Drosophila melanogaster: one gene and its partners. The gene in region 3 interacts genetically with the main gene of each other region. Each region holds a gene or a part of one and is shown on either strand. Other genes may lie near its edges. The genes, in order: aurA, Top2, tefu and Mekk1.

What was found.
Region 1: of tefu (region 3) and aurA, changing one suppresses a phenotype caused by changing the other (phenotypic suppression), as found in Drosophila melanogaster (one study listed by BioGRID).
Region 2: of tefu (region 3) and Top2, changing one enhances a phenotype caused by changing the other (phenotypic enhancement), as found in Drosophila melanogaster (one study listed by BioGRID).
Region 4: of tefu (region 3) and Mekk1, changing one enhances a phenotype caused by changing the other (phenotypic enhancement), as found in Drosophila melanogaster (one study listed by BioGRID).

The regions. Positions count from the first base shown.
Region 1 is NT_033777.3:11,960,962-11,967,632, reverse strand, and holds aurA (aurora A), read right to left. Parts: upstream 4,510-6,671; 5' UTR 4,342-4,509; coding exon 4,228-4,341; intron 4,164-4,227; coding exon 3,863-4,163; intron 3,801-3,862; coding exon 2,980-3,800; 3' UTR 2,807-2,979; downstream 1-2,806. Other genes in the region: CG12213 (uncharacterized protein), read left to right, coding at 286-445, 508-836, 894-2,088, 2,147-2,208; CG3281 (uncharacterized protein), read left to right, coding at 4,921-5,076, 5,130-6,590.
Region 2 is NT_033779.5:19,445,956-19,456,432, forward strand, and holds Top2 (topoisomerase 2), read right to left. Parts: upstream 7,536-10,477; 5' UTR 7,296-7,535; intron 6,839-7,295; 5' UTR 6,584-6,838; intron 6,361-6,583; 5' UTR 6,331-6,360; coding exon 5,773-6,330; intron 5,716-5,772; coding exon 5,292-5,715; intron 5,226-5,291; coding exon 2,188-5,225; intron 2,107-2,187; coding exon 1,783-2,106; 3' UTR 1,410-1,782; downstream 1-1,409. Other genes in the region: RanGAP (Ran GTPase activating protein), read left to right, coding at 1-71, 142-643, 721-897, 954-1,283; CG10026 (uncharacterized protein), read left to right, coding at 10,226-10,228, 10,454-10,477. UniProt on the Drosophila melanogaster protein: Control of topological states of DNA by transient breakage and subsequent rejoining of DNA strands. Topoisomerase II makes double-strand breaks. Essential during mitosis and meiosis for proper segregation of daughter chromosomes.
Region 3 is NT_033777.3:15,237,024-15,244,236, forward strand, and holds the start of tefu (telomere fusion), read right to left. Parts: upstream 5,214-7,213; 5' UTR 5,198-5,213; intron 5,140-5,197; 5' UTR 5,121-5,139; coding exon 4,920-5,120; intron 4,862-4,919; coding exon 4,753-4,861; intron 4,702-4,752; coding exon 4,516-4,701; intron 4,458-4,515; coding exon 4,237-4,457; intron 4,181-4,236; coding exon 3,836-4,180; intron 3,775-3,835; coding exon 2,671-3,774; intron 2,617-2,670; coding exon 2,439-2,616; intron 2,382-2,438; coding exon 2,212-2,381; intron 2,161-2,211; coding exon 2,034-2,160; intron 1,977-2,033; coding exon 1,609-1,976; intron 1,552-1,608; coding exon 1,410-1,551; intron 1,355-1,409; coding exon 1,234-1,354; intron 1,180-1,233; coding exon 1,047-1,179; intron 989-1,046; coding exon 695-988; intron 642-694; coding exon 368-641; intron 312-367; coding exon 1-311. UniProt on the Drosophila melanogaster protein: Serine/threonine-protein kinase which recognizes the substrate consensus sequence [ST]-Q. Required to suppress spontaneous apoptosis of proliferating cells during development, and for their proper differentiation. Required for female fertility.
Region 4 is NT_033777.3:18,739,205-18,746,270, forward strand, and holds the start of Mekk1 (Mekk1), read right to left. Parts: upstream 4,391-7,066; 5' UTR 4,033-4,390; coding exon 3,797-4,032; intron 893-3,796; exon of another isoform or gene 93-892; intron 1-92. Other genes in the region: PGS1 (phosphatidylglycerophosphate synthase 1), read right to left, coding at 5,047-5,466, 5,525-6,589.

The DNA of each region.
Region 1 (6,671 bases), 3.3 Mb from region 3:
AAAACATAGCAAGCCTTAAAAATTAAATAAAAAAAAGGAATTCAACAATTATATTATTGCAAAGAACTGCGAACATTCATAATTCAGAACCTTTTAAAATTTCAAAGGGGATAAAAATAAAGTATAAAAAAATAATACAACTAAATTCATCGATAGGCAATCGCTACTATCGTTACGACGATACCATCGTACCAGCTCTAAAGCAAAACAAGAAGAAAAACCATTCTTTTTCTGCAAAGGAAATAGTTGCAATTTGTTGATTTACTAGCTTAAATCGAGTGTAAAATGAGTTCGGCTCGCTTCGCGCGCTCAGGGCGCGTCCGTATCTGCATCCTGATGAGCATGTTCATCGTGCTCATCATGATGATTGTTATCTACCAAATGTCCCAACACCAATTGGACGAGAGCCGCGCCTTCCAAGAGGGCCTCAGTGTCCAGATGCAATGTGGGTCTATTGTTTCTATCTTGTTTTGTCCATATGCCGACTGATTATGGTGATATCCACAGCCCTGAATGCCGAAAAACTTACCGCCGAGAAGAGAATGAGCGCGCTGCGCTCGGAAAAGATGACCCTGCAGGAGCAGTACGAGGGTCAGTTGGCGGAGGCACTGCAGAAGCAGCACGACACGGAACACGCACTGCAGGAGAAGTTCGACGCTCAGGTGGAAAAGTACAAGCTGCTGGAGATTAAGTACACCAACCTGGAGGCCGAGTTCGTCAAGAGCAAGAAGAAACACATCGAGGACACGAACGCTTTCGACCAAAAGCTGCAAAAGGTCCTGGCGGATCTTCATAAGGACAAGGCCAGCAAGGAGCGCGAGGTGGCTGCCTGGAAGGTATGCTTTTCTAATACATCCAAGTAAATTTCTTCACCATATCTACTTATGCTCCAGGAAAAGCTGGACAAGCTACAGCGCGATGGTGAGCACAAGATTCACGCCCTGGAAGCCACAATTGCGGAATTCAAGACCAACTGCAACTATGTACCTAAAGTCCAGCCCGCCGAGGCACCGGTCCAGGGACACCAGCAGCAACTGAATAAGCCCGCCGAGCAGATGCCCACCACGCACCACTCAAATCCTGCCCAGCTAGCGCACAGCATTGAAAAGCCCCGCAACGAGAAGTCCTTCGATGCCCAAGTGCAAGTGAGTGAAGGCCTCTACAGGATTGGCGGCGGGGTAAATCTGCTAGCAACTAACCCAAAACAAAACCTAACAAACGCGTCTACTAACTTCACACTTAAGAGTAACGGTGACGGAACCCAAGAGCAGCCGCAACTGCCTCTGCAGCCTTTTGCCGTGTCCAACAACCACAGCCTCATACTAAACTCTGTTGAAAACTTTCAGATTGTGCCCAAATCGGTCAGTGAGAAGCAACAGCAGGAGGAGCCGCAACTATCCGGCGGTCCTGTTTCCCCGTTAAGTGCACCCCGCAAGAGCAGCACCCAAGCCTCAGTGGGCAGCGCTTCGGACAAGAAAGCCGGTGATGCCCCCAACGCATCTGTAGCCCCAAAAGTTAGTAGCAGCGGCCTTCCCCCGCTTGCAGTGCCACCAGCGAAGACTGAGCGCAAACTTCCCGAAAACGTGGCTCCCATTCCCGAGAACTTTGAAGACAAAGCGGATACTAAGGGCGACGCTGTCGATGTAGACAACGCCGCCGAAGACCTGCCGAAGAACGAGAACAACAATCGTTACGCCAACGCAGTAAATGATATGGAGGGCAACAAAAATGTAGGCGTAGCTCCCAAACCCATCGAGGATTCGGGCGCTCACGAAGTTAAGGATGCGTTAAACGAGCCTAGCTTTAATTTGCCCGCCGCTGGTGGCGGCCAGAATTTCTTCGATGGCGAATTGCCGGCACCTGGTCCCGGACCCGTTCCCGATGAAACGGCCAAACAGATGGCCGAGGCAGCCGGTGCCGGAGGAGGTGGCGACGGAGATGACGACGACGATGTGGGTGATGTGGCCGTGAAACAGCCACAGCATTTGCTCGATACAGACAATCTAAACAACGAAATCGTTGCTGACCAGGGTAAGGAGTTCGCCGAAGGCATCCACCTGGAAGACGGCATGGATGAAGATCAAGATGGTGAGTGGAAGTGCTCACAAATCGGAATAAATGCTTAACACTTTAACTTAAATTGCAGAGGACGACTATTCCAATGGTGGTGCAGCACGCAAGAAGGGAGGCGAGGTTATTAGACACTAAGTAAGATAATTTTCTATTAATATTGAGCGGCAAGTGTGCAAAGGCTTAGAAACCCCTTTATATTAAAGCCGTGCTCGGTAAGCCATAGATTCTAGGGTTAATCATAACGAAATGTCGCAAATCGATCATTGAAATTTGTACGTTAATTGAAGATTATAAATCAAAATCTATCCTGGCTTGAGCACGCCCTAAGCTATTTAGTTTGTAAGTTAAGTTCAACGTCATGACTACCATCATTTCGTTAATAGCAAATGAAGAACAAGAAATTAAAACTCGCAGGAAATACAATACTCTGAGATGGAGCTACGAACAAATGCAGACAGATTTAAAATGAAGACTGTTTCAGTTCTGCCTTGCAAATTATTAGTCCCGAATTAGCAGTAATCGAAATCGTTGCTAAATCCTTACAAGTTTCATTAACAAATATACTCTATATACTTGGTTTTCTGTGATAAAAATAAACGCTGCGCTGCATTTGGGCAATGTTGCCTGTTTTTTTTGTCGCTGCCTACACGTTTCACTTCTGCATTTGCAATTCCGTCAACCCATTTCGCTAGAGATTAGGTAGCTACATAAGATAGGAGTGTACGCTAGCATTCGAAAACACACACAAACTTTATTGCTAATGATAATAATAAACTTAATTGATAAATGTTAATTTCTCGTATCTATATAAATGAAAATTTATGATGCCATAATTAAATTACGCGGGGAGCCCTAAACTAAAAATGTAATTAAAAGGAATTAACTGAAAATTAAACAAGAATGTGTTCACTGCGTGTGCGCCAGGATCCAAGGATGCACCATCACCTGATCCAGCGGTAGGCGGTGCTGCGGATTAAGGACCAGCAGCTTGGAAATGAGATGGGATGCTGCCTTGGAAATGTGCTCCGGCAGTTTGTAGTCCACCTTGAGAATCTTCTTGTAGGTCTCGTCATAGTTCTTCGAGTAGAAGGGAGCGTGGCCCACTAGCAGCTCAAAGCAGAGCACACCCAGGCTCCATAGATCCACGTTTTTCGTGTGCGGCTTGCCCTGAACCATTTCGGGTGGCAAGTAGTCGACAGTGCCGCACAGTGTCATGCGCATGGAGTTCGGCTCGTGCACGGACCAACCGAAGTCGGCGATCTTCAGGACGCCCTTGTGCCCGAGCAGCAAGTTCTCCGGCTTGATGTCCCTGTGTATGATGTCCCGCTCATGCAGATAGAGCAGCGCCGAGCACAACGCCTGAATATAGGTGGCCGACTGGCGTTCATCGAAACGTTTCATCGGCTGTGCCTGCAAGGCGTTGAAAAGCGTTCCTTGTGGCGCATACTCCAAGATCAGATATATGCGCACGTCGTCGTGAAAGTAGGCATACAGACGCAGGATATGCGGATGACGTAGGTGCGATTGTATCTCGATCTCACGACGCACCTGGTGCTCCACATTGGACTCGCCAATCTGGCGCTTAAAGAGCACTTTTAGGGCCACCACGAACTGGGATTCCTTTTCCCGCGCCAAATAAACGTTGCCAAACTTGCCCCGTCCCAGCAGGCGACCAATATCAAAGTTGTTGAGCTCCCAGGTCTTCTTCGGCTTCTGGGGCTGGGTTTCTGCAGAAAATTACAATTGAGTTTGGTAATTGCAAAAGATTACAGCTGAACCATTAACCCACCAGTCTTGGTTTTCTCTTTTTCAGCGGAGCTGCTGGCCGCACCCAGTTCCTTGGAGGATTCAGAGCTCGCAGCAGTGGGTTTCTGCTTGGAAAGTGACTCAGGCTTCTTGATAGGTGCTACTGGAGCCGGAGCAGCAAACTCTGATGTGGTCTTCTTCACGGACGGCACCATGGGTTTTTGGAAGTTGTTTCCTTCGGAGGAAGCTATGGAATTGGAGCCTCCTAGGCCTGGCTTCCTGATCAAAGCGCCAGAGGATCCTGGCAAGGGTTTGCTAGCTGGAGCCATATTCTCGCTGTTGGGCTGTATCACAATGGTACCAAATAAGAGTTTCAGCTGCACTCCAGAGATTTACCACTTAACGTACCTTCTTTCCCAATAGCAAGTTCTTTTGCATATTGTGCACTGCAGCTGATTTTTCTGGCATTCTGTGCGGAGCATTTTCCTTGGGACGCAGCACATGGTCAGACGGATGGGACATGACGGCACAGGCACTCGACAACTAACAGAACAGATTACAATTTTGGTCAGTTAACAATGAAAGCCGATATTGGGTAAAACATTCACGACTCCCGGGATCCTGTGAAAATAAAATGCCGTTCGTTTGAATTGTGAAGCGGGCGTGTGCGTGATGAGGCGAATGGCAAGTGTGCGATACTATCGGTTGGTTGAAGAATATCGTGACTTTGTAGTGTTAGAAAATGTTATATTGTGTATTATTTCAATTTGAAATCAAGAGAATTATTGAATAGTGCTCTAAACTTTGGCATTTATGTTATTTTAACCTTAATTTCTATCTCTATACAAATACATCTATCAAAGCGTCTTAATTTTGAAAATATGTTAATTCGTCGCACTTTATTTTGATTAACCGGACGATAGACTATCGGAAGATATTTATAAATATCGTTAATTGTGTACATCTCAATTCCAATATTTTTTATTTCTGGTGACTGTGAACCAGAACAGCTGTGATTTTATCGGGCATCTCTGAACATCAGGTGTTATTAACAAGCAAAGTTTTTATTGGAATTCGTCGTTTATGATATGATGCCGAATCATGGACACACCGGAGATCCACGTAAATATAAGCTCGCAGACTTGCCGCGTCTGCCTGGAGACGCACGAGACCAATCTGTATGTCCACGATGAAATCAAATACAACGACCTTAAGTTGGAGCTCTGGCAGTTGTTGGAGGCAGTTTCCAAATTGAAGGTAAAGAGCTACAATTTCAAGAAACTTCGAAAAATAAGTTCAATTATTTCCAGTGGACATGGACGGACCCAAATCTGCCTATGCATCTGTGTCAAAATTGCGCCCGCCGGCTGATCGGCGCCTATGAGTTCATCGTCGAAGTGGAAAACGCCCATGAAACTTTACAGAATCTCTTCGAGCAACAGGAAGTTGCTGCCAAGCCGGATGAAGTTCATGTGGATGTCGTGGAGCTTATAGACCAAGACGATGTGGTCAGTATGGCACAATACCTGTCCACGTCTTTTGCCGAACAGCACGTGGAAATGGAGGAGAAGTATGGAGACCAAGACTGTTCAGCTTTTACTTCAGATGTGGGCGAAGAGCCACTCTATGCGAGCGAGGATCGTGATGATGAGCCTGAAGACTCCTTTCAGCTGAAGCCTCGGCCAGATGAAATAGAAAACAGAGAATTGTCGCGACCTTCCCAGCTGGGCAGTCGTTTGAACCATTCGGCGAACTTCATCTACAAGTGCGCCGTCTGTCCGCGTGTCTTTGCCAAAAGTGAATCTCTGACTCGTCATTTTTCCCAAGCCCACAAACTGACAGCGGACGTGGCCGCCATGAAGCTGGCCAACGAGAGCTGCGGCACCGGTCTGCTAACCTGTGAGCACTGTCCGCGGACATTCAAGCGTCAGGACACACTCCGGCGACACATGCAGGCATTCCATCCCGACGCAATCGCATTGGAACCCGAAGAAACGACGGACAATTCCGCCCGAAAACGCATAGCTAAGCGGCGAGACTGTCCGCACTGTGGCCTGAGCTTTCCCGTATCTAGCCTTACCATCCACATTCGGCGACATACGGGCGATAATCCGTACAAGTGCGATCAATGCGAGAAGGCCTTTCCGCGCAGCCAAGATCTTAGTCTTCACATGCGTCAGCACACCGGCGAGCGTCCCAGTGAGTGCAAGATCTGCTCCAAGAAGTTTATTTCGCAGAACAAGCTGGCGCGACACATGCGATTGCACACGGGTCAAAGGCCGTACTCCTGCAAAATGTGCAGCAAGAGCTTTGTGCAGTCCAACGACCTTAAGATCCATATGCGGCGCCACACGGGCGAGCGACCATATCAGTGTGGAGTGTGCGGCGAGAGCTTTGTGTGCGGTTCGCACCTGAATATCCATCGTAACCGAAAGGGACATCTGATTGCTGTGATTCCGGGCAATGAAGTAGAGGCAAATTTTGCTGCTGATCCTTATGTAAATGCTAGGGTCAACCAGCGCCGTTCGGAGGATATAGAGCGTATGCGCCTGCAACGCATTCCCGAAAACCAATTGCAACAGAGACTGGAAAATCTCCCCAAACCGGATGTCCCGGCTATGTGCTACAAATGCGGTGTCTGCGAACAGAAATTCAAAAGTGGAGCTCTCCTGACCGTCCATCGCAATAAAATGAGCCATTATGAGATCGAAAGGGTCTACGAAAATCCGTTCGGAAAAAATCAGAAAATCATCAAAGCCGAATATAATTAAAATGTATTACTAGCTAAAGAAATCATCACTAATATAGAATGTAGAATGAACCCATGTATATTAGATACTAATTGTATCGTA
Region 2 (10,477 bases), on a different chromosome or scaffold from region 3:
AACATGAACGACAATACTCTAAAGTCCGAGGGAGCTGAAAAAATAGCTGAGGCTCTTCCCTTCTTGCCACTGTGAGTCGGTTATAAAGTTTTTGATGAGGGAGAGTGAGTGAGTGTTATGTGATATCTTTTTGCTTTGCAGGCTGCGTGAAATGAGCTTTGGAGACTGCCTGATCAAAACTAATGGCGCCTACCACTTCGGTGAGGCTCTGGAGAGAGGAAACGAACGACTGGAAGTTATCGACTTAGGTTTTAACGAAATCAACAGCGACGGCGGCTTGGTGTTGGTGAATGCTATGGGAAACAAGCCCAAGCTACGCATCTTGAATCTAGATGGCAATAGCTTTGGAGAAGAAGGCAGCGAGAAGATAATCAGCGAGATGAGTAAGTTGCCAACTGCTGCCGCACTGCAACCGTTTCAGCACCAGGAAGAGGAGGATTTGGAAGATGAATACCAGGCTGACAAGCAGGACGCAGATTACGAAGAGGAAGAGGAAGTACACGAGCACGCCAACGATACTACCGAAGAAGCAGATGAGGATAGCGAGGGCGACGAGGACGACGAGGAAGACGAGGGAGACGAGGAGTACAGCAACGTCGCGGAGGAGACTGCCTATGTCACTACGAATGCCTACACGACCAAGGTTAGTTTATACTTCGGAGTACTGTGCAAATGGTAACAGCAATTAATCGAATTATCTTTAATTTTAAATTTTCACAGCTTTTTAACGACACAACCAACTCGATGGCCAGCGAAACTTTTGCGGTCGCGAACAAGACGATCAGCCAAAAATGCACTCCAGAGAAGTTCTGTTTGAGCCAGAAACCCTGCTCCCAGGAAGATTTCGATTCGCTAGATATGGATAACAAACTTGAGGCTTTGCAGTCGATTGTCAACGTAAGATATTCTCAATAATTAGAATGCAATTAGAGTAACGTAACATTTTTGTACAGCAATTCACCGGCGACAACCATTTGCTACTGCTCGTCTTCACCACCTTGAAGTGCGCGCATTTGTCGCAATCCTCGAAAGCTGCGTTGGATCTGGCCGTCTCCTTGTACCAGGCCACCTTTGACTATGCCATCAAGACAAAGCAGGAGACACGTGTACTCAACTATGTACTGATGCAGCTCCGTTTGTTGCCCTGCAAGGAGGTATTCCATTCGGACTACGATGTCAAGAACTGTCGATTTGCTCTTCGCGAGGCTCTCAAGCAACCAACGTTTGCCAACGACAACATTAAGAATTCCTTTAAGACTTTCCTGGAGGGTGCGGAGTCGTAAAGAGAATTAGAGAAGAGATTACCTTTATTTCCCACTTTCCGATTTGTGTAGCTTTCGCGAATAAAAACGTATTATTCCTAACCCGTAGTGGTGTTTTTTTTTTACCCAAAAAACCAATCGAAATTTAATGTATTAGCCATTCGGCAAAAGTGATTTATTTACATGAAGAAAACTCGTATGAGACTACAAACTATCTTTATGGAACATGTTAATACATCGATATTACGTTTGTAAATTCCTCTTGGTGGCTTTCTTGCTGCTCTGGAACAGAATCAGCTACAGTGAACGAATGTAGCGAAGTGTTTATCTATAGTTAATAAAAACACGAATTATAAAACATTGACGTTAACATCGAGGAGAACATTGAAAGATTATAAAATAACGAACGATCGTGGCGAGCAAGTCCGCAAAAAAAAGTGCCTCCTCGAGATTCTCGATGCGGATAATGCTGATTCTAAGAGTCCATCTTCTATCAATATCCTGTGTGGAAATGTGTTCCTTAACAATTAAAATCAGAATCATCATCATCATCTTCATCAATCTCGATATCATCATCATCGCTTTCAATTACAGCTCGCCTCTTCTTGGGCGGAGCTTTCTTTTTGGCTCCTCCACTGCTCTCATCCTCTCGTCCACGCTTAGCTGGACGCTTGGGCGAATCATCATCGCTGGCATTGCCATCATCATCAGAGCCAACGTTGCCACCGTCTTCCTCCTCATCCGAGAAGAGCGAGCTGTAGTCTATCTTCTTACTGGCCTGTCGACGTCCAGGACGCTCTGCACGAGGAGTTACTTCCTCCACGTCATCGTCGCTCTTTTTCGCCTAAAGATGAAAAATATTAATTGACAATTAAATACAGATTTGGGTTTAAAAACAAATATGGGCAATTACTGAAACACTTACCTTGGCCTTGCTGAAGTCAATCTTGCTCTGCTTGAGCCCGCCGCCGTTCTCCTTCTTTTGGCGCGGCTTTTTTTCTCCCGGCTCCTTCTTGACAACCGCCTTCTTGGCCTTGGGTGAGGTCTTAGAGCCGCCCTCGACCATTGCATCAAATTCGTCCACCTCATCGCCGCTGGCATCAGGTTCGGCTTTAATCTGCTTGCCCTTCGGTTCCTTCTTCACTTTTGGCTCCTTGGGCTCTTTGGGTTTCTTCGGCTCCTTAGCCGCCTGAGCTACCTTGGCAGCCGCTGCCATTTTCTTAATGATTTCTTCGGTGATCTTAAACTCGACGGGTTCTCCATCGGGATCTGGGAATACGTCTCCGGCACCCGCTCCGCCTCCCATTGACTTAACCTTTCTGCCCTTAGCTGAGGCCGACTTCTGGCCCTTCAAAGCCTTCGCGGTCTTGAGATTGATCCCCTGCTCTTCTGCGCGCTCCTTCTCCTCTACTTCATTTAACTTCGATTCGAGGGCATCCAAATCATCCAGCCAAAGCATCTCCGGCGTCTTCTTGCGCAGACTTTCCAACTCGGACAGTTTAGTGTCGCGCTGTTTGAGTAGCTCGTTTTTCTTCTCCTCTGTCAACATCCACATGGACATACCCAGAAGGTAGTCAAACTTTTTGACATCAGTTAGTTTCTTAAAGGCCTTTTCCGGATCGACTTCCTTTTCCTTCTTAGCCTTTGAGCTGACACTGGGAGCTGCCTCCTCTTCTTCTTCGTCCTCTTCGTCAGCTTGCTCGGCATCCTCCATTTTAATGCGGCGCTGCCACTCCTTGACGGGATCGGGACGATATCCACGCTTCAACAACTCATCACACATGGCCTTGCGCTGCTTGTTCTCCACCACCAGCTTCTTCTCACACTTTTCGAGAATAAAGCGCGCCTGATCACTGAGGCGATCAGCCTGCGCCGTGAGCTGGCCGACCAAAAAGTCCCTCCGGCGGGCGTAGTACTCTCGTCGCAGTTTGTAATACTCTTTAAGGATATCGATCGCGGTGGGGAAGCGTCGCAGACAGTTGTTCTGGTCGAACGCATGCATCTGGTTGGTGGACAGCGTCGTGGTAAGTTTGAACACTCGGTAGAAACCACCTTCTTCTGCATGAATGCGCTCAAATTCTCCAGGTGCGAAACTGATCACAAAGCGAACGGTGGTGTCTGTATGATACTCCCTGTACTCGGAAATAATACCCTTAACCTTTTCGGTGCCGTTTGATAAAGGCTCCAGGACATTTTCCTTGTAGTTTTGCGTCCATACGCCCACAGGGAGTTCACTGATTTCTAAACGGTTTCCGGACAAAATTTGAATGTTACCAGTCTGAATATAACGACCATCCGAAACATACTCCATGCGTCCTAAAAAGTTCTTGTACCACGGATGCATCACACTTGGCTCTTGTCCGTTTATCATCTTCCTTAGATTTTTCATAATCTCACGAGGATTGTAGTTGGATATCTTCGTGGACCATCCAGTTCCTATGCCCTCGGCTCCGTTTACCAATACCATCGGTATGATGGGCAGATACCATAGTGGCTCGATCTTTTGGCCATCGTCCACCTGGTAATCCAAAAGTGGATCGTCCAAAGGATGGTAGATGAGTCGCGTCAAGGGAGACATTATAGTGAAAATGTAACGAGCGCTGGCGCAATCTTTGCCTCCCGACAAGCGGGTACCAAATTGACCGCGTGGCTCAAGCAGATTAATGTTGTTGGCACCCACAAAATTCTGAGCCAGATTCACGATTGTCATCTGTAGGGATACCTCTCCGTGGTGATAGGCTGACATCTCCGCCACTGATCCGGATAGCTGGGCCACCTTCACCTCACGCTTGTCATTCCTCTTGAAGCAAGTGAACATCACCTTCCGCTGACCCGGCTTCAAGCCATCCACCAGACTAGGAATGGAGCGCTCATTGTCAGCATTCGAGAACAGCACCAACTCCAGATTGATAAAGTCTGCATAGGTGATGCTCTTGGTGCCCTTGGTGTAGAGATATCGCTCTGGCAAACCGAGCTCCTTGCGACGCTTCACCTCGTCCATGTGGTTGGTAAGCCATACCTTTCGCGACTCGATGTGCTTCTTGGAGAAGGCCATAACAATGCTCTCATCATCCACCGATCCATCGTACTTAAATAAGATGCGATGGCGATCCATGTCTTGAAAATACTCTTTCGCCTCCTTGGAGGTCGAAGTACCCAAACCCTTATAGTACTTTATATTGTACGTATGGTGATTAGCTGTATCATTTTTCCACTCCTCGAATTCGGGTAGCGAGTAGAATGACAGCTCCTCGTTTTTCTTGGTTGCCTTCACAATTGGTGTAATGAACTCCTCGAGGAAGGGCAGACGCAGAAGCTCTGGCCAATTGGTGTGGATAAAGTTGATCAAGAGACCCTTGATGTGGGAGCCATCCTGATCCTGATCTGTCATGATCATCACTTTGCCATAGCGCAGAGTTTTTAGATCGTCCTCAGTGAGGTACTTCTTTTTGTATTGCAAGCCAATTATCTTGCATAAATTGTTGATTTCGGCATTCTCCGAAAGCTGCTTGAAATTAGCTTCCCGCACATTTAGAAGTTTACCCCTAAGCGGGAACACGCCGTAGAGATCTCGTCCGATCACGCCCAAACCGGATACGGCCAATGACTTGGCTGAGTCTCCCTCGGTGAGGATGAGGGTGCATTTAATCGAGTTCTTTCCACCCGCCTCGTTAGCGTCCTCCAGCTTGGGAATGCCCTTGATCTTGCTTGACTTGCGACCGCCCGTCTTGGCAATGTCATTTTGGGCCTTGAACTTGGCCCATGCCAGCACAGACTCCACGATGCCAGACTTGGACATGTTGTTGATGAACTTTTCCGAGAGGGTACACTTGGAACCGAAGCCCTTTTGTTGCAGAGTCATGTTCTCCTTGGTCTGCGAGTCGAAAGTGGGGTTCTCTATCAAGCAGTTGACAAAAACCCACAGATGGTTTCGGACCTGGAATGGCTTGATGTTGATGCCACCTGGAAGAGGTTCAAAGCAAATATTAGTTGTTGTTTAAGAAAATACACATTTTAAGTTAAACGTACCTTTGTTCTTTTTCTTCAGAACCTCGAGCAGCTGCTTAATGAGATTGTCTACCACATGGTCCACATGCCGACCGCCCTTGTAGGTAGCTATCGAGTTGACAAACGAGACCTGTTGGAAGCCTCGATCTGAAGGACAGCAAGCCACCTCCCAACGCTCGTTGGCAACCTCGTGGACTATCTTGATCGGTGGGCCAGAATCGTCGTCCGTGTTCTTGATGTGCAAATCAATATAGTCCTTGAAGTTGCGTACACCCAGTTTGTTGCCGTTTAAGAAGACGGATACTCCCTTGGATGAGGCGGCCACATCGTAGGCGCGACGCGACATTAGAGCCACAATATCTTCATCGAGACGGTCCATCTTGAACTTGGCCAGATCGGGACTGAATGTGATGCGTGTGTAGTCAGTGCCATTGAAGTCCTTGATCTGTGGGTTTACTGAACATTAGATGATGGTCTAAAATAAGAAATGTTATTTCCTTACCTGCACATCGGAGGCTTTTCCCATGTTGTTTCCCCAAGTCTGCTTGAAACTTTTCTTGTATTCCCTCGTGGCAGTCTCAACGGTGAAGCTGGTGGAGAATATGTTGCAGAGCTTCGCTCCGTATCCGTTCCTGCCGCCAGTGACCTTCTTCTCATCGTCGTTGTAGTTCGACGAGGTCAGCAGATGACCAAAGATCATCGTTGGAACGTACATCTTCTGCTCCTTGTGCATGGTCACCGGAATGCCCTGGCCGTTGTTCCACACGGACACCATATTGCGCTCCGGATCGATGTCGATCTTAATGGTGTTCATGCTCTTGTCTCGCTGCTTGTTATCTGCCGCATTCACAAGAATCTCGTCGAATATCTTGTAGAGGCCGGGCACGAAAGAGATCTCCTTCTGCACCATGCGGTTTTGGGAGTTGTCATACACCCACATCAGCTCCTTGGTGAACTCCACGGATCCGATGTACGAGTCGGGTCGCAGCAGGATGTGCTCCAGCTGCGACTTCTTCTGGTACATCTGTTCGATGGACAGGGCCTTGTTTCCGTTCTCCATGATGCTTCTGTCGCTGTGCTTTAGCTGAATCTTCAAAGAGTAAGCAAAAGGCATTTGTTAATGTAATATTAATATTAATAACTAATATTCCGAGCCATTGCCTTAGCTACTATTAATCACTCGTCCTGCGTTCTACTAAGTAAAAAAAAAACCAAAGCTACTAGCAGAAGACTACAGTACCCACCCAGTTAACAGTTGCTATTAGTATATTAGTAATATTATGTTCACGTTTTTTTTTTAATTGTTATAATACCAAATAAGATAGATGGCACCCAATATGTTTAATGGCCTCTTAATAACGGGGATGGTTGTGCGTTGGCATGTGATGCCAATGCTGCTGATGCTGCTGTTCAACAATTTTTTATTAATGAATGCGCACTGTACCCACGGTGAAAAAAAAAAACAAAACGCGCGCCCGCGCATTGCGTAAATGCCGTCCAGACAAACGCTGCAATGGAATGGGACTTGGCCAACATGGGAAATGGTTGGGTACGTCAAACAGAAATAACTGCAGATAAATTGAAAAACGTCAAACTAAGTATTATTTTGCCTGGTGCTACTGTACTGGGAACAGATTTTCAGCACACTTTGAAATACATAACAGCCCTGTCTCTTTGGCGGCAACGCTTGGCGTGCGCCGTCTGTTGCGTGAGTGTGCGTGTTTATTGGCGTTTGCCGGTAGTCACCGCTATTTATTATTTCTTATTAAGGTTCTTCGAGGGGTTTCACTTTATAGTAAACAAATTCAGGCCTACATACGCGCTCCGCGCTACAAAATCAAAAAACTATGGTTTTTAAAGGCCCAAAATTAGCTAAATGTCTATACCGGTATCGCCATTTTTAATTTGCAAGCGACGCCACCGAAAAATTGCTATATCCATCATATTAAAGGATTAATTAGACAGGGCTCTTAGGTTCTACGGTACAGCCAATTCTACGATTATGATTCAGCACTTTCTGCTTACCTGGTTAAAAAATTGCCAAGTATTTGTGGCCTTTTCTTGCTGCCGCCGACAACCGAAGTGCGGCAAAACTCTATGTTGCAGGCGATACACGAGGCGGTGCACTACAATTTTCGACTTGTACGTGCCCCACGCGTCTGCTGCCTTTAGCTAAAACTTGTACAGTTCTCAACTAACTATTAAAATACGCACAGCACATTTAACAACTTTTCACAACCGACAACAAATGAGAAGTATTGCTGGTTTTAGAGCTGGCAAGGCGCACAAATCGATGTTTGAATGAAATCGCTATCGATAAGTCCCATAACAGTGTTGTTTGGGTTGGTGCATACGCTCATTGTGAACAGGGCTAAACTAGTAACTGCGGTCGGTGACTCCGCTAAAAGCGTGATCGCCAAAATCACGGTTTTTTAGTTCTATCTCAATCACGTGATGAGTTAAGCAACAGTTAATTCTAAAAAATTCGAAGGTAATAAATAATAATAACATTTTTGGGGTTAAATTCTTTTTCGAGTCGAAAGTAGGGGTTTTAATTATTCCAACTAACATTTCTTCTATTTTTTACATTATAAATCGGCATTGAAATAAATGTAAAAAAGATAAAATATTTCGATCTAAATGCAAATTATCAAAAATTTAAGACAAAGTAAAACCATTAAGAAATTTATCCTTTCATATGCTTAGTATTGTATCCCACATCAATGTGATATACAGCAATTACTTAAAATGAAATGAAATGAAAAATTGCTGCTAAAGTTGCATTTGTGCAATTAAATTTCGCACCGTTGAAGTGAAGATTGCTTTTCAATTAACCACCTGGTAATATGAATATTCCAAAGCCAAGACCATGGCTACAAGAGAACTGGTTTTCTTTCTGCCATTTTGCCTGACCTTGCCCAACACGACGTCATAAAGGGGCATGTCCCTCCCCATCCCGTTGCGATTTTCATTCCGGCTCAGAAACATGTTTTGAATAGTGCAAACAAAATATAAAGATTCTGGATTCATCCGAGTTACTCGGAATTTCTGCTTGGGTAATGGAGAACCCTTCACGCAGTGACGTCACCGGAGCTCATTGAACTTGCACAGCATCGAATATCGTCCAGAAATATTCTCTACTCCTCCAAATCTGTTGATTCTCGTTTGACAAGCATCAGCAAAGATCTCTCAATATGCGGAGTGCAGTTTGTACCCTGCCAAATTGGGAATTTCAGCTGATGCATGGGAAAATTGTGAACTAGCGGAGTTAAGTGCAGTTTATTCCAGGATACTATTAGCAAGTTGAACAAGATGTGAGCTAAAACTCCTAAGATTTGGTAAGATAAAAAGATAAACATAAGTACTACAATTAGCAATTAGTTTCTTTTTTTTTTTTTTGAATAAATTGTATGTATATGTATTGTTAATCAACAAATTTTACTTAATTGCGTTTTTAAGGGTGTTTGCATCGTCGTTTCATCGAGCTGGCTCTCCCTATTTTCAGATGCTGGTTTCTCGTTCTCGCATACTGGTTTATAGTCATAAGTGCTGCGCTTTTTCTCGACTTTTTCCATTGAGACTTGTGTTCATAAAATCTTCTGTTCTAAGCGATCCCCAGCTCAGTTTCATTCCAAGCTTCTGCGATGCCACTTGTGTGCGATCTTCGTTAAGTCGGATTCCCCGTACTGCAAGCTGGAAAAAATAGAAACCGTGACCAGAAACAGTAACCGCCACTCGGATTGGATTATTACCTGGTAATGAAAGTGAAGACCCCGAGCTAATGGGGCGATTTAAACAGGTGTTTAAAGGTGCAGGTGGGGCTGTGAAATAATCGCTTATTATCAAACACCCTAATGGGGGGCACTATTATTGTGATTATCTTGGGATTATCAAATCCATGTAGACAATTAACGACAACAATGGCGAGTTCATTAACACTTGAACCGAACTACGAGTATGTATGTGCTGGGACTTAAGCACTGCAATCAGGCGTACTTAAAAGTGCATAATGTGTAATTAGTTGGAATTTGTTGAATATGATTAAATATTGACCCAGGCACTTTGCACGGCCACCACGTGTGAAATTTGTGTGTGCTGCACTTTGAGATCGCGGTGGCATCATCTCACAGTATCTGCCAAATACGCGTCGAACTCACACAACGCTGCACCGCACAGACCCCAAGCGACCCGATTAGCCATTGGCGAACTGGGAACGCGGCGGATAATGCCTTATCAGGCAGTGGCTCCTCTACAATCGCGGGGTTCACTGGGGGCAAGTTTGGGTCTGGCTCTGCGTTTTGGGGTGTAGGGATAGGAATTGGGAAATCCGGCCAAGGCCAGGTCGAGGTACACCTAACAAGAGCACATATTTTGGGGCTGATGCTGAACACTATGCAATTCCAAGATTAAGCTAGCAATGTAACAATCGGTACTAACCCCCAATTAGTATATATTTATATTATATATATATATATTATTATATTATATTAATATATTTTAAATGATTTTAAAAATTTTAATGATTTCATTTTGCATACATTGTTTTGAAAGTGTACCTACCTAATGTATTGATTGCTGGAAACAACCAACCCAAAGGCAATGTTTCTAAAAACTAAGTGCAGCCAAAACTGAGTAATTGCACAACACTTTACTTATACTATATTGTTTATAATTCTTGTGGATTCCCGCTCCATCAATTAAGTACAGCAGATTCACTAAATTTAGCTCGAGCTCAGTGACACACTGTTATCACTCATCGGCTGTCTCCTTCGCGCTATCGCAATGTTCATTGTTGTTCGGTTTCTAGTTAATATTTAATGGTCGCATACACACTCGTACATGTTTAGCGACAAGTAAAACAGCATTTCGCCTGGGACTGTCACCACTTGGCCCGATTCTGGTTCCGATCGGGGGCTCAGTTTCACACTTGGAGTCGAGCGGATCACAGCCCATAAATGGTAACAACGAGAAATTCATCCAGCAGTGACATGCCAAATCTCTCTGAAATTTAAATGTCAATACGGGTGGCGAAATGTTGCTAACAACGAAACAATCGGGAACAGTCATATTGCGCTATTCTCAACTGGATTTATTTTTATTTACATTTTGCGCGAGTGAAAAGCGCTTATCAATGCACCACCCCCTTATGGCCACATTGTATCTATAGTTTGGGCTTTTTTTAGACGACCAGCAGTGGATGCCGCACC
Region 3 (7,213 bases):
GACATCCGCCCTATCAATATTGGGTTGACTGGACTTGCAATCCTCTCGCAGAGGTTTAAGAAACTCGCAGTCCGTTGTCTCTTCCAAAAAGGAATTCAGGTTAATGTGGCCCTTTTTTGATTCCAAAATGTACATTACTATCGACATGGTCTTCTCTCTAACTTCTTTCGCTTCGCAGCATAGTTGAAAATTGCTCAATAGCTTAGCTATGTCTCCGAAGTGATTTTGGTAATCATCCAATCGGAAGTTGTGTTTGTTAAGCAAAAGTTCCAAAAATGTCAGAGCAGCCATTTGGACGCGGATGAACTTTGCTGAAATCGGGTAGCGTTAGGTAATGCGTAAGTTACTCTGTATATTTTTCACTTACTATGGATTAGAAGTCGCACCACAAAAAACCAAATATCACGAACAAAGAAGGAGCACTGGGTAACTATGGTTTCATTTTTTCTGGCTGCATCATAGACAGCATCTGCAACTTCACAGTAGAGGAAAAAGTCATGCAAGGCCTGACTAGAAAAAGAGGCCGAATAACAGTTGGTCTTTAAGCGTCCAAAAATATCGACCAGCACACGGGAATGTTTGGTTTGAAGCGTGGTCATGGACTGGATCCGACTGTCCATCGATGGCCTCATTTCAGGGTCCTAAACAAACAAGAGTTAGGCGACATATTTGTAATGTCTTTCCAAATACGTACAATGTGAAAGTTCAGACACTTAAAAAGCGATTCTCCACTCAGACTATACCAACTGGCTGTTCTGTTGCAGATCGCAAGGGAACCAAACAATCTCATCATTTCCTGCGGATCGTGCAGCATGCTTATCACATAGCAAAGAATATCCAAATCAAGATCAACATCTGTGGCATTCAGCTGAGAGTAACTGAGATTCTCCGACAATAGCTGGAGGTGTTCTTTAAAGTTCTGACCTTCGCTTTCGCTGCACGAGCTGTTTTTGATCAGTAGAAATGAAGCCAGTATCGGAAGGGCCAGCTAAAGAATAAATCTTGCAATTTATATATTTTTTAAAGAAAACTTCTACCGTACTTACCTCCTCGCTGATGGATTTACTGCACCGTTCTATATCCTCTGTTTTGCCATATAGAAAGGTATATGCCATAATTTCACTGGCGTGTGTTTTGCGGAATTCACTCTTCGTTGAATAGCACAGAAAATAGGGAAACCTTGATTTGTGAGATGTGAGTGTAACTTTCTTGGGATTGGTTAGTTAATCTCACTTGGAAATGGGCCAGCGCTTGGAGCTCCAATGATGAAGAAGAATGGCCGCAAATGGTCTGATAAGATCACGCACTGTTTGCCGATGGCAGGATGACATACTCTGCAGGGAAATAAACTCCCCTGGAATTGGATCATGGATCTTGTAACTGAAACTGCTACTACGGTGCTTACTCACTTTCAGTTAGCCTTCGCAAGGCACAATGATGCAGCAGCTCCTTCAGTGCTATCTCTTGGTGGAATGAGCTGCGCAAGAATATTGCAATTAACATTTGTACGATTAACGCATTGCTGTTTTGAATGGCATCCTCGTTGTTGTACTAAATAAGAAATAGCCATTAAAGTATAGCTAGGCATCCAGACTTCCGAATGCTTACCGTCAGTTTCTTAAACTCAATGCTCTCGTACAGCTCCTGGCAGAAGTCCCAGTGCGTCCGAGAATGACCAATGGCATCGCTAGTGACGCAATTCGATTCCAGCAGGATGGTGAATGTGAAGAGTGTGGCAAAGCGCACTTCTAACGTGGGCATGGTGATGAATTTCGCAGTGGACTTGCATATCACAGCAAAGTTCTCTAGAAGGTAAATGTCCGGACAACGCTGAGCAATCAATCCCACGCAGCGTACAATTTTCGCTGTTAAATTCGATGTGTACGACTTCTTAATGGCAATCCTTAAAAGGGAATTAAGGGCCATAAGCATGTCGTCCAAATGATTTTCTTTGTGCCTTACGAAGTAAAAAATGGCTGCAATGAAATGAATTGATTGCACTGTGTTTATTGTTCTATTATATATAAGCTCACTGGGCATATGTTGAACCACTTTGTCCATCAATTCCGCATCCTGATGATGCTGCTGGAAAAGCGTCTTCAATTTGCTCACTAACCAAGAGCTGGATGCTTCAGAAATCGTTTGGCAGCTGCATAACATCTTAAAGAGATTTCAAAATTATTTCTGTTTTGGTTACGATATAACTCCTACCTTGGTCACAATAAGCACATCCTGTGGATGCCAACGCATCGTTACCTTTACTATGTGCTCGAATGCTTCATCCCGGTGCGAATTGTACGCACAAAGACCAGCCAAAATATTAAGGCACAGACGCGTTATTGTTCCATGATCTGCATCTACAGATCGCTCCCTCTGCATGGCTAAAATATTCCACTCTTCAATTATTAAAGCGATACGTTAATTGAAAACTACATTACAATGCAACTTGAGAGCAGCGCCAACAAATTCCACCAACATTTCAATGGGTTGCCTTTCCAAATAATCGAGTAAGACTAAATTCGTCCTGAATACATCAAGTACATAGATTTCCAGACGTAAAATCTCTGGTAAATCGCTCTTATCTAAAATCTCAGCTCCGTTCGCCTTGAGCTGGAACTGAAATGGGTATTAGAAAACGAGTTTTTGAAAGATTATTCATTTGGCACCCACCTCAATGTGGCTGAGATATAGTCCAATTCTTTTTATAAGTGGACAGCCAGTATAGGTATCTGCATCGAAAACCTTGTAATGCAAAAGCCTTTCCATTGTGCAGATCAACTTTAATAGACTATTCAGGTTTTTTATTATTGCCGCCGGTTTGTTCTCCTTCGCGATCTCAAAGTTAAGGCCTCGCATTAGGCAATCATAATTGGATTGAATCAAACAATTCTTTGTTTCGCTCTGAATGTGAGTGATTGACTCAAAAGGAGTGGCGTAGTCCTTGTCAAAGCAAATAAGCTGTTCGTTGTACTTGTAGGCCAAAAGATTGCGTTCGGTGGAAGGAACAATGTGTTCTGATTGAGAGATCTGTCGCAATTGCTGGACATCCAAAAAATTTATAATGCTGATTGCAAAAGTATCCGCCTGCAACTGGGCATCAATACTGTCTATATTGTGTATCATCTGAGCGGCGATGAATCTATCCGCACTTCCGTATGCCCAAGCTATGATGGGTTCTAAGTCAGCGGACGCCTTATCTTGACCACATTTATCAGCATGGATGAAGATCTCTCGAATCGTCGCTAAGCATTCGTTGCGCTTTAGCATTTCATTCGAGATAATATTGTTAAGCAGCGTGCTGGACAACTTTTGATTTAGTTTATTGTGTCTGATCAGCATCTGCAGCACCAATTGCTTCTCCTTGATCTCCTCACTGTTTGTTGTTGTCTCTGATATGAGCTGGTTTGCCATTTGACTCCAAAGCTCACCCAGAAAATCCTCCCGAATAGATTTAGAGTGCAAAAGCTCCTGTTCTTTAGTCAAAAGATGAGCCAGGCATAACCGAAGGTTCCGGAGATTTTTCGCATTGCCGTACATTTGCATTATTTCCGCCACGGTGGTTAGCGCCATTTGGTAGTTGGCCACATTTAGGATCACGCTACTCAGCTGAAGTATCTCAGTGAATATCGCAAGCCAGACGTCGTTAAAGGTGTTTTCCTTTTTGTCGATCAGACTAAATATAGTTTCCATTTTATCTGCAGGCTTCGGGATCTTTTTCGGCGCATCGCCTTCCCCATTTTCATCAGCCTTTTTCGTCTCCAAGTGCCAAAGCACCTGCAAATAATAATATAATTAAAATTAAATATATTAAATATTACTAGCTTATGCGACGTACTATATACATAGCCAGGGCAGACATCTTGATGAAGGGGTCAGAAAATTTATTATTGCTCAGTAGTGCGTTCTTGCAGCGAGCCCAGGAATTCTTTCGGATCTCCACATTGACAATAGTTTTCAGCCGCAGTAAAGTTTGCGGCCACTTTTCATGAACAGGCACACCGAGTGTATTAAAGTCACACATATCCATTTTGAGATACATTGAATGGAGCGACTTTGAAACGCACTGAAAGAACAGATTTCTGGTGTCGTCCCGGAACGCATCCTCGTCATGATACTCGCATAGTTTAGGTAGAATCTCCTGCATGTGCACGTTCAATTGGTGATTGTAGTTGACAGCAAGCTGAAAGATTGTTGCAAAGTTTTTAACATTATCTAAAGATATAATAAGAGTCCTACCTCTGATGCAAATATTAAGTAGACGCGAACAATCTCAGTTTTTCTGGCTCCAAAAGCGGAGAGCGCAAAGCTGCTGAGCTCCGGCAGATATTCCACTAGATCCACGTGCAGCTGAACCCGGTCCTTGGCCAAACTGACGGTTCTTGTGATGCATTTCAGTATTCTGGTTCGCAAGACCTCGTCCATATCGACATTCAGTTCAAAAAGATAGGAGAGAATCCCTGTAATACATCATCAAATTAAAAAAAAGAGTCTCTTTTGGGCCAGAAAGTAACTTACTACTGTATTCGTTAATTTTAAGGTCGCGCACATAGCTGACCGATGAGTAAATGCCCTTTTCCAGCAGGCTCAGAATGCGGTCGCCAAAATACTTGACTACCACTCGCATCTTGATGCCATCCTCGAATGCACTAAATATGCTTGTTTTGGCCAGGAAATGCCCATTTCCGGAGGTCTGCGACCCCGCTGGAAATCACAGGTTAGCTTTAATAACGTGTTTAAGTGTTTAGGAGTTACCTTCCAAGTTGAATTGTGTGATCTTCTCGAGGACATTATCGTACAAGTAGTTTTTTCCCGCCAGCGTTTTGAATACTTTCTCGTTGACATCCTCCAGATTTCCAGCTTGCTATCATTAGGTTAACAATTAAAATGGAACTGATTGTTTAACGATAATGGCTAGGAACCTTAAAGAGAGCCTCCTTCGACGCTTCAAAGATTGTGGTCCAGGATATATCCGAAGTTTTGCTAAGAAACAACTTATCCAGATCCTCTCGGCAACTTGAGAGCTTTTCATCCAGCTGTTGGATGCCCTTGTTTCGGCTGGCTGCCTTCCCCGACTGAAGGTCCCCGAGTATCCGCTGGATTTCGTTTAGAAGTGCACTCATCCTGGCTGCCCGGCATAACCTGTTGTAATGTTGTATTAATTATTAAACTAAACATAAAATGATCTCTCAAAATGTACTTAGAGTGACCTCTGCCAGAGCGCCAAAAAATACCACGATCAATAAGAACAGCACTGTTGTTAAATGGCTGGGCAGCCGTGTGCGTCAAATAAGTGCCGATGGAGAACTAGAATAACCTTATATAACGAAAGATTTATAAATAAAAAAATCCCATGTTCCATATTCCACTGTTCCTTCATTAATTATTCCTATATTATGAATTATATTCATTAAGAAAGGAATAGGAAATGTGGTTTTTAAAGTAACAAGCTACGTTCAGCGCTTCTACTACATATTAGCCAATTTCTACGACTTTACAGTTTCGGTGTGAACGTTCTGCGTCAACATTTCTGGACTTCTGTGTGAAGCGCTTATTAGGGTGGCCAAGAATTTTGCGGTTACACCCCTGGGAATTTAGTACTAAAATTGTTGATGGCTTTGGTAACACTTTTGCTTGTATATAAAAGGCATTCGCAAATTTTGTACGGGTGTAATTCAGAAAAAAACGCCAGCCAGTTTGATCGAAGGTGCGGCAGATTAAAAGTGAAGTAGCAATTAAACGGTTATATTTTAGTACTTTCTAAGAAACAACACACAAGGTAAGCGTTTATTTACATTTTAGTATTTATTTCGTTGTTAAAAAAAGTGCGACCACCTCGATTAAGTTTGCCGGAAAATAATTTGAAATCAAACCACGTGTTTTTTGTAGCCCCTTTACTATTTAATCAATACTCTCAAAGAAGGCAAGGTTTCTCGAACTTTCGACCCCAGTGAGTAACGCTTCGATGCACACTTACATACATAATTGCAAAGGTGCATCATAGAGCGCCTATTAATTAGGCAAATTAAGATTCTAGAAACTTTGGAAGTTCTGACTAATTGCATATTGATGCCTAATGCTTGATTGTGATTATCTGGAATATTCCACTGGAAAACGTGCCGCTTCCCACTCACTGCAGTCACAGTCTACTTTCGGTTGAGTGAGTATGTGTGAGAGAAAACTTGCGTCATCCGTTGCGGGGTCTTGACATTGCTTGTGATTTTTATTGTTTCTGTTTCCAATAAATCAATGTCCAAGTTACTCATCGTAATTGGTAATTTATTTTGAGTGCCATTGCTCTTTTGCTGGAATATTCCAGCTTGGGAAAAATGTGAGGCTTCCCCCCCCCCCACACAACCACACAAAAATGCGTGCATGTCTGATCATTTAATTTTAATGCTATACTGCTATAGAAACATGTTGGATTCCCTTACATACAGTCAAGGCATATAAACATTGTTTATAAATAGAACTAACATTCATAAATTTATACATTATGCGGCCTTTTATTAAATATACTTAGCTAAAAAAAAACACGTTGCCAACCGGCATTCAAAGTGCGGGCACGTGTGTTTGTGAGCGGGTAAAACCAACACACGCAAAGCCGTCCCGGACACAGTGGTTGTCTCCCTCGCTCGCACATACGAATCACCCTCCAAAATGACCTGGCTTCAGCAGCGTGGTTTACATATATTTAAGTATATGCATGTGTGTGTGTGCTTGTGAGGGCGCGTGTGTTTGCGTTTTTAGCATTCCAGAATTTTCGCCTTTGTCCATGCGGTTTCTTCTCTTTTTTGCGCACTTTGCAGAAAAAGGTGGCAGCTGCTCGGTCGCCATTTATAATTCTCATCGATCCAGCATTGATCTTGCCATTTTCATGAATCGGTTGGCATTAGTCACCGTTCGTGATTCGCCGATTTTGGCAAGCCGTTTTAGATAAACATGCGGCATAAATGGCACAATGAAAACGAAATGCTCGCTGAAAAAGGCGAAATAATATGGCGTTTTCACTAGGAAACCGAAATGTGTTCTACTTTTTCCTTGGTTGTCATGGGAAAGTATTCAGCAACCCCCAAGTACACAAGCAAAATGAAACATTCAATATTTAATATGTTTCAAAGGTTTTCTATATTTTATATTTCTATACACTTACCATCTCAGCAAACGGTTAATTTTCCATCTACACGAATAACACAACATTTGTTCCATTTTCTCA
Region 4 (7,066 bases), 3.5 Mb from region 3:
AAAAGCCCAAAATTGGCTGGCAATTACTCGTTTGATTGTGGTGTGCAAATCGCGTCACACTTTTCATCAGCCCATTGGCTTGGATCACTCACTTCTTCCGACGCATTTTGCAGACCTCCTCCTGGGCAATCACTGTTTGCGCAGTCCAATAGCTCCAAAACCGGCACTAATCAGCGAGTCGCAGCGAGACGAGAGAGAACCTTGGAGAGTGCAATCCTCTTTTTTACTCTCAACTGGCTGGTTGATAATGCCGCTGTTTTAAACTTTGCTTAATCGCCGCAATCGAGGGCTAGTGTTACTTTCAGAGTCTCCGGTGGGTGCCCGAGCCAGATTTATGCACATCTAATTGCACCGCACCATACACCACTACAACCCACTCTGGGGACAAAAAACAAACAGCGGCGGAACGATCTGAGAGCAAATAAAAAGCGACAGCTCACAATTAAAAGCTGGTAGAGCTGGAGAGAACTTTAGACGCGAGCCAGCGAACGATGACTGGACTGGCCTGGGGGCTGGATGACCGATCCGCGGTATGCGACTGCCGATTCCCTTCTCGGATCGATGGAATCTTTACTGGTGGGGTGGGTTATGGGTTATGCACTATCTCCCACCGTAGTAGTGTGTAGTTTTCTGGCTGGTTTTCTGGTTTATCACGACGAATTGCAAACAGGCGGCAGTAGTTCGCACGCCTCGCACCGAACCCTTTCGAATTTCATAACGCGCAGCACTTGTCGCGGCAGCCAGTCAGTCAATTTATTAGCACTTTTAACAAGAATATTCCCCATCTATTCGCCAATGCGTACAGTATACGGTTTTGTATGTAGCGCAAGCGAGTGTGTGCCGCGGTGCCGACGAAGCGGTGTCGCCCCCAAACCGACTGCTATTCACTGCCAATCGCGGCGAACTGAAAAGAGCGAGCGACGACCGCCCGACCGACGCATCCGATTGTTTACGGCCCTCAGCGGAGAGCAACTAGTGGGTGGCCACTTCAAATCGGGGATGCCGGTTTAGCTATTAAATAGTTATGTTTAACATTTACCAGTGGTCATTTCAGTCAGAAACTACTGGAGTGTGGCACAGAAAGTGTAAAAGTATGCATAACATATTAAATATAAATTGTGAAGCCTACGGTTTACAATAAATACAATACCTGCCACTATAAACTATAGCCATTTGTGTATGGTATCTCAGAGAGAGGAGACGCAATAAGATGAGCAACAGAGGTATGGAAACTAAGAGCACAAGAAAGAGAGACACACCACCGTGATACGGTTTGTTGTGGAACGCAAAGGGGTATTCGATCGTTTCTGGAGCGCATTGCGTTTGTTTGTGGTTCGCAATTGTCTTAGCCGCGAGAATATTTATTATTAATTTATGGCATTTTATTATGTACCCGCTTGTTGGCTAATAAGCAATGTGTTTACTTAAGCTTTTGAGTGTAGGTATTTTTCTACAAACGGTCAGAATATGAAAATCGATTCAAATCAAGTCAATCAACTTCATTGGCTCTATATGAAAATCTTTGGTCACGTGACCAGCGGTGCGTATACTTCATATTTATAGATACACATAAAAGTTGCACATTCGCACCGTGGTCCCCATTTATGTATGAAGCATTGGAAATTCGATGACTAAGCGATCAATTTATCAGATCGACTGATAGGACGAGTTCGTCCAAAACAAAGTGAGTTGTAATAAGAAACAGACAATCAGACACCCAATCAAGATTATTAAATGTAAACAAATGTTAATATGCAACCATAGTTTTTAGTTTTATCTTTCAATGCTTCTTAAAGTAAAGTAAAAAGTTAAAAATGTAAAATAGTAATCAAATGGATTTTGAGAGGTTTTCAATTTTTAAATAAATGGAAATAACAAATCATACACAATCTGTGAATCTCATGTTTATGCTGTTTTCTTCTGTAAACATGGCATTTAAAAACACATTAGAAACTTCTAAAATTAGTGCAAACGGCAGTGGCACGTGTGTGTGTGGGCGCGTGCGTGTGTAATATGCGGAAATGTTTTCTGATATGTGTGTACAATTATGCTTATCAAACATACGAAAGCCCCAAAATTATAACCAACTGAACTGAGGTCTAGAACGTGGAGCAAAAGAGAGAGAGAGAGAAAGATAACCTGCAAGTTCAAGTACAAATACGAATGTTGCAAGAGCGCGAGCTCCCGCTCTCTTCACCAAAGCCAACAACAGTTAGGCCAGAGACCTTCAATCATCGGAATTCCATTCAGTTAGCCAGGTGACAACCACAAAACATTATGGACGGAGATATGAGAAGAAAGCGAATTCGATTTGAAAACAGAATAACGAAAGAGGTTACAAAGCAGAGTGGGCAAACGCACGTATTAAACGCGTTTTAACTTCCAATAGTCTCCCCTCCGTCTCTTCTTCTTCTTCCCTCCCCCCTAAAACAGGTATACCAGCTGAAGAAGAACAAGATTGGCGGCATCAAATGAGAACAATGCTTACAGATGTCCGAACTACCGATTACCCTATAAATGCTGTTTAAACCTTTAAAGTCAAAAACTTTTTCGTAACCTTTCCTAAAGAATCACTGCTTGTATCTTAGCATATACGATGCTTTAATAAAAAAAAAAACATATGTAATATTATATCTATACGTTGCCATTTTTCCAGCGAACCAATCAACTTATCAATTAACAGGTATTAAAATATAGAGACCAACGAAAAAAAGAGCGAGCAGCAGACACATAAATCTCGGCTAATTTCACTTAGTTGCCATAGAAACAGGTGCCAAAAGAAAATGGATGTTTGTCGCAAATTTCCTGCTAACATACGACAATCATGTTTTCCCGCAAAACGATGAACACTCACCTATCCCATAAAAATCAAATCAAAAAAATGAAGTGTATTATGAATAAGCCCCTGCGCATAAGACACAAAAAAAAAAAACAGCGGAAAACGTATCCGTAATTCTCTCAAGGTGAGCGTGTGTATGTGTTATCAGTCCACCGTCAGCGTTATCAGCAAATATCTTGGAAGACTTGAGGCGGCCCCACACAAAAATATGACTATGATAAATGCCGAAATACTACGAAAAACGACGCAGAGCGAATATAACATGCATTATAAAGAAACTTAGTTTTTGTAATGTAATACCTAGCAATTATTGCTTTTTTATTTGAACACATTAAAATCAGTTTAAAATATTTATGAAGGGTGCTCTCTTGTAAGTGAGAAAACTTGTTGATCACTGAAAACAATCGTTACTGTTACATAAAGGAGCGTTTAGACTTCAAGATTTGGTTTCAATCTCAATCTACTAAAATTTCCACAAAAATTTCTAAATATATTACGTGTTCGACGAGTATGCGTTACACAAATGTGATCCAATTTTTGCAGTGCACCTGTGCAGAATTTTAATTGCGCTGCACACAAAGTGTTTAATTTCAGGCAGAATTCGCAATTTGTTGCTGTTCATTTTTTGTGCCTGTCTTGCAGTTCGCTAAATTCTGGGGTTCGTTGAGCCACCCAGGCCAACAACAAGATAACGTGGTCAAAAAACACGTTGTTTACGTTTAAACAATTAAAACTGGTGAAATGCACAGCGAGAGAGAAGAAATGCGAGAGCGAATGAGAGGGAAACCCCGCAAATATGGCTTTGAGAGCAGAGCCGCGACAGAGATATGTTAAAAGAGGGGGAGAGGAAATGGGAAAGAGAGCGCTTGTTAGTTACGTGCCAATGCAGACTTTCTTGTTTCTGTTTGTGTTGGGAAAAGCCCAGCAATTCGAAAACCGCTGGTGTGCTCTGCTCACCTTGCAACATCCTCCTCGACGCTCTGCTCGCGTCGTAATCGTATGGGCGGAATGGGCGGGATGGGTGGTGTGGGTGGCGTTTCAGCTGTAACGGTACTATGATGCCCATTGCCATTCTCCTCCTCCCTTGCCACCTGCTCCTCTGCATTTGTTGTTGCTGCCGGTGTCTTTTGCAAACGCAAACTCTGCTGCAGCGCCAGATAATCAATTGTTCGCACTCTTCGCCTGTTTGACATTTTTGCAAAACTCTGTTTTTTCTGCTTTTGTTATATTCTTGGAATTTGCTGCTCACACGCACACATGCTCAGCCAGCCGCCAGTGCACAAACACTATCGCAATCCAGCACCAACACACACTTGCACTTTAGTAAGCACGCGCCGCGTTTTTATTTTTCTTTTTGTTTTGCCTTTGGCGATAATCAGATTTATTTTAATTTAACTTTCACGGCGAGCAAACACATAACGTTTAACGCGCTCCCGAACTTGGCACGCAGGTAAGCACTTTGTCGTACGTCTTACCGGGCCAAAAAAAGCAGCTAACTAAAGTCTTCGAGCCACTCAAGTCGCCCGGCGTTTTTGAAGAGTGAAAAAAGAGAGAGCTTTAGAGGTGGCAAAGAAGCGATAATCAAACTGGGACTTTTCGTTCAACAATTGGTTAAAAGCTTAAACTTAGCAGAGTATTTCGAAGAGTTAAATTTTTGCTTAGACTTTGCTCTTAAATTTCTTTTAACAAAATTGGTAAACACATTGAGGACATCTGAAAATAATAATTAAACAAATTGCAACTTTTTTCAACAAAGTTCGAAATACATTCTTGAAAATAGCTAAAAACATTGGTCTATCCGATTATTTCTGCCTCTCCAAAGCGGTAAACCATCGTTAGGCGTCCATCACTATTCACAGATGGGCGGGATATTTAATTTTGAACGCATGATTATTATCAGCACCAAAAATTATTAAAACTAAATGAAAGTACATATAGATAGTACAAATATTTATAACATATGCACTTGATTCTAAAATGATGATCCCCCTGGTGATTAGAACACAGCGTGGTATTTTTCCTTCTGCATGCCCTCGATTCTCTTTATTATTTAACAAACTTTAGCGTGTGTACAAAATCAACAATTACCAGCAATAGAAACACTTGCCCAGGGCAAAGATTAAACACGAATTATAAAACTAAATTAACTACCTGGGATATGGGGCTTAACAAAGAACGAAAAAAATTAAACTACTATATCGAAGAGCCTAGAAGAAATTCCTGAATATGCGAACGACGGCCTGGACCCATCGCGGAACGGGTCGTTGGACGATTTCCCGCTCCGCCGTCTGTGACAGATCGTACAGCCGGTCAGCTTCCGCCTGCAGCCGCTGGCTTAGATCCTTATTAGCCGTCACAAGGCACACCTGTGTCTCCAGATCGCGGTTCACCGATCGCTCGCCAAAGTTCGAAGAGCCGATCAGCGTGAGGTTTGGCAGTATTGCCTCTGGCAGGTAGTACCACAGTCCTTTAGCATGGTACGTCCAGCCGGGCTTTTCGTACTCGAAGAAGTTAACGCGGTGGTTTTGCTTCCGGCGGACCAGGCTCTCGTAGAAACTCTTGGCTATCAGTGTGTAGGCAGCCGGAATTCCGCCCGCTGGTCCTTTGGCACCCTGAAAGCCGTTTGCCTGGAAAATGAATTAAATCGGGTTACTATTGGTCAACTAATTACTGATAGCCACTCACATTTGGATGAGCCATCAGTATGCTGCATTGGGCCAGGCACTTGTGCGTGAGCGTGTCCATGTACTCCTGCGTCAGGTTGAAGTACCCGGTGGCCAGTTTCAGCCGTGATCCAGACAAGCAGTTGGAGAGCAGCCGCTTGGTCACCACGCTGTCGTGATGAATGCCGATCTGGCCCATCTCAAGCAGCGGAAAAATCCATGTGTCTGCCTGCGGATTCTGCTCTTTAGTTCGCGCCTGCCGCTGAAACGTCTCCTGCACTAAATCGGAAATACGTTTACGGGCAAGCTGGATAAACTGCTCCTTGGTGCCCTCGTACGGCAGTATTCGCCAGTTGCGGTGCAGTCCCTCGCTGGCATCTGGCGCCACTGCCAAACTAAACTCTTGAACGCGTTCGATGAACTGCGCATAGAAATCCGCCAACGGTTTGTCCTCAATGAGTATGTATCGATCCTGCCGGTTGGTGAAGTAGTCATTGGACAGATTGGCGCCTGATATGATCACGGCATCGTCGAACAGGTAGACCTTCATGTGCTGTAGTCCGAGAAGCTCATTCCACCGTGGCGGTGCTAGTCGCTTTGTCATCCCGCGCAGATCAGGCGTATGGTACAGGGATAGCTGCACCTGGCTCGCAAAGTCGCGGACCAGGGGTAGCAACATGGTCTTGGAGTTGAGGGTTCCCCGCGTGCCGCGTGTAAAGTCCAACAGCACGTTGAGCCTCAGGGCAGACTGTTGCTCCAGGCTGTGACGCAACGTCTGAACCATTGCGTTCTCCAGTTGCCCAGTGCCCAGGTACAAACTGGCCAGCACTATACGGCGTTTGGCCTGACCGATTCGTTGCACCAGCGTTTCGTAGAAGTGCTTTGGCTCGTGGATGACCTGAATTTGATCGCCTCGCAGCGGGAAGCACGGCGCTAGGTTGTGTAACCAACTTAGGCTCTCCAGTGCGGGTGCTCCAGGGAATCCGGTGGCCAGGACACTGGGCGCCTGCTGCAAGCAGCCCAGAAAATCGCCCTGAGCAGCCGGAGAGAGCTCCTGGCTGAAAAGGCGGCGAAGGTATGGCATCATCTTGGCGGGGATTTCTCTGACGGATTGGCAAGCGGATCCTCACTCTGGGCGGCTGCTATTTGATGACAGGGTATGGCGCATTGCTCACTGTCTGTTTGGCTGTATCCGGAACACACTTTCATTCATGGAGTGCTGTTTTATCACAAAAAAAACTTCGAATTTCAGCACGTAAATAAATTCCAGGTGGAACGCAAGTGTTGCAAAGCGAGCTGGGATTCGATAACAATTTATAGCTATCGGGAATTATCGACTGTTCATAATGGTGATGGTGATATGGTGATCCTGCTATGTGTTTCTTAAAAAAAAATAATATTTAAATCAAATTAATAAAAGCCTAACCATTTATCAATAGTTACTAACTGTTACATTTTTAACATTTTTGTGTATATCTACTTTTATATATATGCATAAAGAAATATTTGAATAAATTTACTTGAAATATTCAACCGGTATCTTACTAATATGCATTTCTTTTTG